2 linked regions of the Saccharomyces cerevisiae S288C genome follow. The gene in region 2 interacts genetically with the main gene of each other region. Each region holds a gene or a part of one and is shown on either strand. Other genes may lie near its edges.

Evidence for each region. A genetic interaction does not mean that the proteins touch.
Region 1: mutations in ERO1 (region 2) and SLP1 together harm fitness more than expected from each alone (negative genetic interaction), as found in Saccharomyces cerevisiae (2 studies listed by BioGRID).

Annotation. Positions count from the first base shown.
Region 1 is NC_001147.6:622,767-628,828, reverse strand, and holds SLP1 (Slp1p), read right to left. Parts: upstream 4,101-6,062; coding exon 2,337-4,100; downstream 1-2,336. Other genes in the region: SUMO ligase NFI1, read left to right, coding at 1-469; ISN1 (IMP 5'-nucleotidase), read left to right, coding at 849-2,201; ATP-binding cassette multidrug transporter PDR5, read right to left, coding at 4,454-6,062. UniProt on the Saccharomyces cerevisiae protein: May be involved in membrane protein folding. Required for localization of MPS3 to the nuclear envelope.
Region 2 is NC_001145.3:10,983-14,967, forward strand, and holds ERO1 (ER oxidoreductin), read right to left. Parts: upstream 2,193-3,985; coding exon 501-2,192; downstream 1-500. Other genes in the region: YML131W (uncharacterized protein), read left to right, coding at 1-313; COX14 (Cox14p), read right to left, coding at 3,559-3,771. UniProt on the Saccharomyces cerevisiae protein: Essential oxidoreductase that oxidizes proteins in the endoplasmic reticulum to produce disulfide bonds. Acts by oxidizing directly PDI1 isomerase through a direct disulfide exchange.

The DNA.
Region 1 (6,062 bases), on a different chromosome or scaffold from region 2:
TGGTGACAGCAGAATATTCTACAATAGAGGGCCATCAACGCCACTATTACCGGCTGTTCTACAAAATTTGACTAATCAAACGGAAGCGCAGAGAAACCCCTACGGACCTAATTACAATACCACAGCTCAAGATCGTAATCTTTTGGGAATCGAAGGTGATTTGCCTCCAATCCCCCCTGTGGACCCAAATTCAGAAGCAGAAACTGAACTACCAACAAGGACCACATCGGCGGCACATCTCCCTCCATATATACACGTGAGCACCAGCGGCCATGGGGATGATGGAAAAATTAGGAAGAGAAGGCATTCTAATGTTTCTATCTACATTCCGAAGAATCCATACGCCACCCTTATGAAACGGAGACCACAGGCAAATCACGCCATAATGAATAAAACTCTGGCCCAAACTAATGACTTTAACACATCGGCTCAAGATAACTCGGAAGTGGTCGATTTAACATCAGATTGATTAACCGTCTTTTGATTTCTTTCCTTTCCGATTGTATTCTATTTTTATTTCTATTGTTTCATTTCGCTCTTAATATTGACTTCCACTTTTGGGCGTAAATGATGTTTTTGTTTTGATAAATATTACGACTTTTGTTATGTTTTTTTACTACTGTGGTTACTTCATGGGTGTAGTGTGCGAATCTGCAGTGATAGGTTTCTATAGATTTCTCTGTATACTTCCTGTATTACACTATAATATTTCATGTCCTTTCACTTCCCACGTTTAGCGGGACAGGCCGCCCTTAAATTAACAAAATTTAAAAGGTAAAGGAATGTACTAAGAAAAGAAAACTATTCAAAGAAAGTAACAAAAGATCGTGAGTTAACTTATAATAGCAATGTCCTCAAGATATAGAGTGGAATATCATTTGAAGAGCCACCGCAAGGATGAGTTTATAGATTGGGTAAAGGGGCTACTGGCCTCACCTTTTGTTCTACATGCCGTCTCTCATGAAGGTGACTACAATGACGACTTAGCAACAACTCAACGTGTAAGGTCGCAGTATGCTGATATCTTTAAAGACATTGAAGGGCTGATTAAAGATAAAATAGAATTTGACTCAAGAAACATGAGCCAAGACGAAATTGAAGATGGCGCCTCTTCTCAATCTCTGAATATATTAGGACAATCGCGTTTAAATCTTTTGGTTCCATCAATTGGAACATTCTTTACGGAACTTCCATTGGAACAAGCTTTTCTATGGGAAGACTCACAACGGGCCATTTCGGCGCGTAGAATGGTAGCACCCAGTTTTAATGATATCAGGCATATCCTGAATACTGCACAGATATTTCACTTTAAGAAACAGGAGAACTTACATAATGGTAAGGTTTTGAGATTAGTGACTTTTGATGGAGATGTGACGCTGTATGAAGATGGTGGCTCCCTGGTTTACACTAATCCTGTAATTCCTTATATTCTCAAGCTGTTGCGGTGCGGTATCAATGTGGGAATAGTCACTGCGGCCGGATATGATGAAGCTGGAACCTATGAGAACAGATTGAAAGGATTAATTGTTGCATTACATGATTCAACTGATATACCAGTTTCTCAAAAGCAGAATTTAACAATAATGGGTGGTGAGTCGAGTTACCTTTTCCGTTACTATGAAGACCCGGAGGAAGATAACTTTGGCTTTAGACAAATTGACAAAGAGGAATGGCTATTGCCTAGAATGAAGGCTTGGTCCCTCGAGGACGTGGAAAAGACTTTGGACTTTGCCGAGAGAACTCTTAACAGGTTAAGAAAAAGACTAAACCTACCTTCAGAGATTTCTATTATCCGTAAAGTCAGGGCAGTGGGTATCGTCCCAGGCGAACGGTACGATGAAGCTTCTAAAAGACAAGTTCCTGTTAAGCTTGATAGGGAACAACTGGAGGAAATAGTTTTAACCCTTCAAAACACTTTAGAGTCTTTTGCCCCATCTAGAAGAATTCAATTTAGTTGTTTTGATGGTGGTAGTGATGTCTGGTGTGATATTGGGGGGAAAGATCTTGGTGTTCGTTCATTGCAACAATTTTATAACCCTGAATCTCCTATCCAACCCTCTGAAACCTTACACGTAGGCGATCAGTTTGCACCGGTGGGATCAGCAAATGATTTTAAGGCAAGGCTAGCTGGATGTACCCTCTGGATAGCATCCCCTCAAGAAACAGTGAATTATCTTCATAGATTATTAGAAACTGATTAAAACAGTTTATGTAAAATGAAATTAGGACTATAAAAGTATATAGATATTTCCTATAGAAACACCTCATATATGGCGGTGGATTTTTTCATCTTGAATGAATTATGCTTAGAATTATGATTATGGGCCCTCTAGGATTCATCTGATTGCTTGTTGAACAATGTCTGCCTTTTCAATAGCGCCATTTTTGCTCTCTTCGAAATCTTCAAAGTAAAGCTCTCTCGTTATTAATAGATAGGATATCAACCCTACGAAGGCGAAAAATGACGCATAAACAATTCTTCTTTGAAAACTGACTTCTTTTTCCAATCTTTCCAAATGCAATAAATGACGGTTAGTAAATTTGTCATTCTCCAGTTTCTGTTCTTCTAATATACGTAAAGATTGATCTTTCAATTGATTGGCAAAGTTATTCAGCAGATCTAGATTACTCATCATTGTTTCGTTGAATATCGTGACAAGATGACTGAACTTTGCTTCGTGCGCCATTTCAAGTTGTTCAAACGATTTAGATAGCAGTTTGCTCTGTTCCTCAATGTAAGAAACTGTCAAACTAGAATTTGTCTCCAGTTGTGACAGCCTTTTCATGATGTTCTTAAAAATGGATTCTTCTGGAATTACAGGAACAGCCGAAGAAGAAGAAGAAGATATCATTTGCTTGGAAGGACAAAAGGATGCATTAAGCACCTTGAAAAATTCATCGAACTTCAAAGGGATGAGCTTTGAAGTACATGATAATGCACCAGCTAAGTCTGAGAGATTGCTTGTGTTTGGAGTCTCTAAACGCGTTTCTATATTGTTACATCTGTCTTGGATATTTTGTTCATTCAAATTGTTTATATTGTTAGTTCCTATGGATTGTTCTTTATCCTCTTGAGCCTTTAGTTGATCGATCTTAAACTCATCCATCATTGATTTACCATATACTTTGATTAAGGATATGGGACAATAAAATTCGTCCTCATAATGGGATAGAATTTCGATTTTCAAATAACTTGCCCAGATTTGGGGATTATGTATTTGAAACTTTTGTAGTTCTCTTGAATTTCTTGCCTCGAATTCTCCTAATATTGTCCATTCATTTTTAACCATCGGTATTCTATCAGAAACTGACACCCTAAATCTCTTGAAGGTCGAGGAAAAGAATTCGTAATTAGCAATTTCAATTTCCTCCACCAGGATATCTTCACAAAGCTCTATAACAATGAATTGCTGCGGAGCTGAACAGGGATTCAGTAAATACTTGTCTTTGCTCTCAATTAACGTAGAAGTCGCTCCAATCGCTTCTGGATTGCTTTTGACAATTGTTGCAGCGCAATCCAAGGATGCATAGTTGAATTTTTTTTTGTAAACTTTCTCTATGTCCTTTTCCTCATTGAATCCTTTTTGATTTTCTTCTCTTTCACTCCACTCGTTTTTGTTTGTCAAAAACCCCAAATCGATTTCCAACTCTTCTCCTATGCATTCTTTCTCTTTATAGCAAGAGGGATCGACTGGCTCCCTCACTCGACTAAGATGACGTTCAGGGCCTGATGAGTGCTCCTTCGACTTGACCTTCTTCCATTCGTCGAACGATAAAAATGAATTACTCGAATCGCCCGGATTCCTTGGTGTTGCAGGCTGTGTTAGTGCATCTTGCTCTTTCCTCTCACCGTTTTCCCGTATGTCAGCCTGCCGTATGTCAACTTTAGAGGCCTGTCTAAAATCATGGGTTCTTAAAGAACCGGTGGATAGTGGTGAGGAATGTTCTTTCTGCACGTTCGTTGTACTTCCAGTCGTGATCACAGTGGTATCATGTAGACCAATCTTCGCATTTTGAGCAGTTTTGTTCCTATCTAATGCAAAAGATCCGATTATACTTACCCACAAAATAAGGCCGTATATGAGAAGACGGTTCGCCATTCGGACAGATAATGATATAATATATCTTATATTTTAACTATATCCATTGCGTCCTTTCTTTTTAACCGTAAGGCACAGTTAAGAAATAATGTTTTCACACTAAATGCTGATGCCTATAAAAAAAAAGTACCGATGAGATAACCTAGGAATAAAATTCTCGGAATTCTTTCGGACATTGAACTTTGATTTATCAGAGCTGGTAAATTCAAGAAAATTGAAATGTAGAAAGCTCGCTGAATTAAGAAAAAAAAAATAAAAACTTATTATTACGCACCTATATGTAGTGATTATGTATGTTTATTAAAAAAGTCCATCTTGGTAAGTTTCTTTTCTTAACCAAATTCAAAATTCTATTATTTCTTGGAGAGTTTACCGTTCTTTTTAGGCACTCTTGCTAACCAGTAGAAAAAGACACCAGCGATATAATTGAATGCAATATAACAGATGAAGATACCATAATTTCTCCATCTCTCACTGTAGAAAGAATTGACATTAGCTAAGTAATCATTGGTTGTAGATATTTGACAGAAACTACAGGTGTCAGTGGCATTTTCATCAGTTAAGTAACCAGTCTTTGCTAGTTGTAAATATGGTTCCATGTACTGCCCACATGTCATACCGGATGGTGGTGTGAATTCTAGCAATTCGTAATCAGCGCATTTGACGTCTACGTTAGCAACACCAACAGCCAACAGAGCCTGAATGAAATAAGTCAAAGGTGAAACCCTGTACATGAATATCCAAAATCTAGGCATGGCACTTGGGGTAGTCATAACACCACAAAAAGACAAAGACATTGTAAACAACAAAGAGGCTAAGTTAGCTGCACTTTCTGCAACTTGGTTGAATGAAATGACAAGCAGACCCATAGAACCAACATAAACGTAGAAAGCACAAGAGAACAACCAAAATAAAGCACCCCTTTCATGCAACTGGCCAGCTGCAGACGCGTTGGAGTAAAATCCAATTGGATAATAGTAGATAAAATAAGCAATAGTACCTGCCAATATATTCCATGGAACTTCCACGAATATTTGAGCGAAGATAAATGAAATCCAAGAAAAAGTCCTTGAGGGGCGTTCCCTGGCCTCATACAAATCTCTTTGCTGGACAAAAGATGGTAGGTATTGTTGTAGAATAGGATTGAAAATAACCGTAAACATGAACACAGCCAACATTTGATTTTGTAAACCCTGTAGCGAGGTTCCTGCTTTGAAGAAAGTGAAACCGATGAACAATTGATTGAAAATAGTTAAAATAAACTTCGACCATAAATAATCTGGAGATCTCCAATATTGCTGGAATAGACGAATACTGACCAATTTTGTTTGATAAATAATTGATTGTGAAAATTCGTGTTTGTCCTCAGCTGCAGTTATCGAACCTTTCTTTGGTAATTCTCTTTCCATCCAATCTAATTCAGATTGAACGGCCCTGTACTCTTCAGAATTCCTCCAAACTTCGTAATAATCTTGATTTGCATGAGAGCCTGGAGCTGCACCAACAACTTCTAGCATCCATTCAGCTGGGTTGGCGTCAGCAGGGCATTTATGAGCACCATGGCTTTCAAAATAATCGATCATAGTTTTACAACCTTCGCCCAAGTCGCCAAAGTAGACAGTCTTACCACCACGTTGCATAAATAGTAAACGATCGAATTCTTGCATCAAAATAGCAGAGGGTTGGTGAATAGTACATAGAATTGCTTGACCATGATTTGCCAACTTTTTCATTAGCTGACAAATAGACCAAGCAGTTTGAGAATCCAAACCAGAAGTAGGTTCATCTAAAAAGACCAACAGTTTTGGTTTGGCAGTTAATTCAACACCAATGGTTAATCTTTTTCTTTGTTCAACGTTTAAACCTTCACCAGCAACACCAACAACAGCATCAGCATATTTTTCCATTTCAAGAATTTTAATAACTTCTTCAACATATCTGTTCTTTTCTTCAATGGAAACT
Region 2 (3,985 bases):
TATGTTGATAGCCTGTGGTGCTATAAGTGCCTATAATGATCCATCTAAATTTGTCTTTAAGGGGTATAGCTTTATTCTGACTAAACGATTGGTCGTTAAAGGAGTACTAGTGACAGATAATATTGATGATTTTCCAAAGGCATTAGATAAATTGGGTTCTCTGGTTAAGCATGGTAAGATTGACCTCTTGAAATCCGCTACCCTTGAAGATGGTACCGGTGATAAGTTCAAGAATGTTCCATTGATATGGAAGGGTCTATTTAGCGGTGTTAATAAAGGTAAACTTATTACCAAGGTTAACAATGAGGAGTGATTTTACACAAAAAGTTTAAGATATGACTATATTATTTTTATTATTGTATCTACTTCGTTTTGGCTCTTATAATTTTTTAGTGGCCTAAATTTTCAAAGGAAAAATTTATTGAATATTTTGAATGATATTTAAACTCTATATTTTGAAATCTATACATTGAATACATATAAGATAAACTGTGTTGCTCTTATTGTATATCTAGCTTATAGGAAATAGGCTCTCGTGTCTCCTCACTAACGTAATCAGCAACACCGATGAATTTATTCCAAAATTTGTATACCTTCATCAAAGATAATTCCCAGATGTTCCTGGGTAAATCCAAATAGCTTCTATAAATAAATCTGAATGCTTCTAAAACGTTGTTAACTTCAGTATTCCAAGCTTTCTTCCATTTATTTACTGTACCGTTAGAGGGCCTTGGAACTATTTCTGCTTTGGGCATTTTTAAATCATCAAATACATGTGATTGAGAATTGTTAGTCTTTTTCTTTCCTTCTTTAGTGGAATTGATGTTCTCTATGGTGTAACGAATCGATTTGCCTGCCTCCTTCAAAATGTTGAAGAAGTTATTTTGGAAGAATGAGCTTAACCTGTTTTCAGAACCGTTTAACCTTTTCCCGTACATTTTTTCGAACATGTTAACAGATTCAATAGATTCAGATAATCTACCGAAAGTCTGTAATAGTGCAATCAACTCATATTTGGTTAACTTACCAACAATATGTTGTTTGGTGAATTCATCAGCGTCGTTGATTTCAAACAAAATTTTCAAGGCAGTTGCGTAACCGGTAGTTTGAATTTTGCCCCACAATCTACATCTATCACATTGCACACAATCCATAATCTTCGTGACATTCTTGAAGCGAGATCTGAATTCGTCCTTCAAAGTCAAACTTAGGTCGTTGGCAAAAACTAAGTCTTCGTTAAAAATTTTTGTGTCCAGCTGGGAAATAACGTTATCCATTTTGTTTTTGATTTCTTTATTGACTAGATCACAGAATGAAAATTCTGGTAAATATGGTTGAATTTTCCAGAGAGCCTTAGCTACAACAGCATAATTGAAATACATGTTTGTCACTCTATCAGGAAAGTTCCCGATTCTTGCCATAAACAAATCCAGATTGGGCTCCCATTTACCAGTTTTCGTGTTCAAATATTCCTTTGATAAGTGAGTACCGATAGAGGCATGGAAACCGGATACAAGTCTATAAAATGCATCTTTGGCCAATGATTCACCAGTTTCGCCAATTGTAAAACAGTTGTCTTGGTAGATAGTAGACCAAATTTGACCAGCTTGCTTACCACCATAACCTGTAAATCGTTCCGGATTTGCTGTTAAATCAATCAGAACGGCGTTTTTACCGTTAAAGTCATTTACATCACAGTAGTTGATGGTGTCTTCGATATCTACAGGTTTTTTACTGGTTTGACATAGTTGATCTAAGAACTTACATTCGTCATCGCTATCATCCGCTTCCTTCATTGTATCATTATTGAAACTACCCAAGATCTCAGGCTGCCAGTACTCAGGCAGTGTATCCCAGTCCTCTACGACATCAACAGAGCAAGCGCGGTTTAAGCACAGACCATCGTTGGCGTCCCAAAATGAACATTGCTTGTATAAATCCAGCCGAAAGTATTTGAAGAAATCAGATTTTAATAACGCCGAAAGATCATCTCTAATGTTTTCATTTATGGCATTTAATTCATTGAATGTTACGTTACAACTGGGACTAACGTGATCATTCCTGTCGACCTTACAAAAGTGAGTGTCATTAAAGGCATTTTGTGTTTGGTCGGTGGCGATGTAGCTATTGTTTGAAGTTGCAGATGTAAAAGCCGTGAGGCACAGTGTGGCAATGGCGGTTCTTAATCTCATGTTTTACCTGCACGTTACTGTGGTATATGCAATAAAATGTTTACACTCTTGAAATAGTATAACCAGTTTAAGTGGTAAACCTTTTCAAGCTCTTTATACTTAGCTTCAAGGATGATTGAACAAGTTTTTATGACACGTACTCCGTATCGTTTCTTTTTTGTTCTCTTCTTTTCTTTTTGTTCTTACTAACGCCCAAAGCCGGAAAAATGCGAAAAATTTCCAGGGTCTTCTATAAGAGAAACCAAAGGACAAAGGGAAAAGGACATACTTAGCAGGTAGCTCAATATTATTTGTTTAATTAGAACAGTCTTCTCTTTGTGTATGTCTTGTACCATTGTCTGTGGTATTCTCGATTTGTGTAGAATACATTTGCCATAAAATGTCAGTAGACCTTTTCTCTGATACGCAGTGAATATATCAATTCTCCTACATATCCTATTGTTCATTGAAAATATGAAAAGTAAGCATTACTCAATAGATAGATAAGAAAATGATCTCGTTTCAGTTGTGAATATGTTTCAGAAGAAATGTCTTGATAGTATTGGTAATGTAGGATGGGCAAACCATATGTAAGGTAGGTGGTTGGCAATTTACTTTTTTTGTGTTGCCAGTATGTATATATGCTTTTGGGGGGCCTTAATGTTTACCTTCAAGGTACGATATTTAGCAAGCATTTCTAGTTCTTTATGTGGTGAATAAGTAATGTGTGTGTGAACTATGGCTACTGGATGACTATATTCGGCATTAGTATTTAATAAGGGTACGACTCTGAAGTATCAGAGTTGCATCATTTCAGACACACTGGAGGGATCCTGTTATATATTTTGAAATAAATAATGTACAATTTTACGGGTGTACACAGCACAAAAAGGAACGTATTCTTACCGCCGTGTTCTTTCCATCACGAAAGTGACTTCATTGCGATGTATTTTTCAGCAAGAATTAAGGTAATAAGATCTCTTCACAAAGCTGACTCAAAAGGCCTACATAATGGCAGTAAGAAAAAGTAAACAGCGAGAAATAGTCAGATAAAAAACTAGATGGCGAATAGACGACATTTTAGAAGAAAAGTGTTTCAGCCTTTGGCCTCAAACCTCAGTGGCAGTCTTTCCCCTGATAAGGAATAGGAAGGCATGCAGCGATATATATGTTAGTTTTGCCTACGGGAATCCGGCAGCAATGTTATTTATTTTTGTTGTTTCTTATGATTTAATTATTATATACAGGTTCGTAAATATTGGCATGATAATGAGGAGAAGGTGGAACCAGCACACTACGTCGATGGAGGCCCTTAGAATATAGTGCAACACTTAAAAATGTAATCTAGTACTTTTTCTTCATTTTATTAGCACTGGGTTCTCGCAGTTTACTCGGTAGGAGGTGCAGTAGGACTTTGCAGTTGTTGATTGTCTTCTTCAAGTGCCTTTTGTTGGGTCACTTGTTGTTCGTACTTCTTACCGTTCATGTATAAAGTGTAAGCTAAGCCACCCGACATGTATAACGTACCACCAACCAACGTCAGTACCGTTAGACGATGTAATGTATCTGTAACTCTGGTATACCAAGCGTATTTGGACATGACTATCTGCGTTCTATTTTTTGTTCTCTTCCTCTCACCATTGCCAAACCGCTGTATAGATTTATGCTCCTTTCAATGCATTTATTCTGATCCTCTCCGATTTCGTATACCGGGTAACATTAATCGCAAGGAAGGAGAAGCAAAGCTCAGAAGTAAGGAAGAACTTCGAAATCTGCTTCCGAGAGTGAGGAAATAGTGTTTTCTAAAGAGTGTA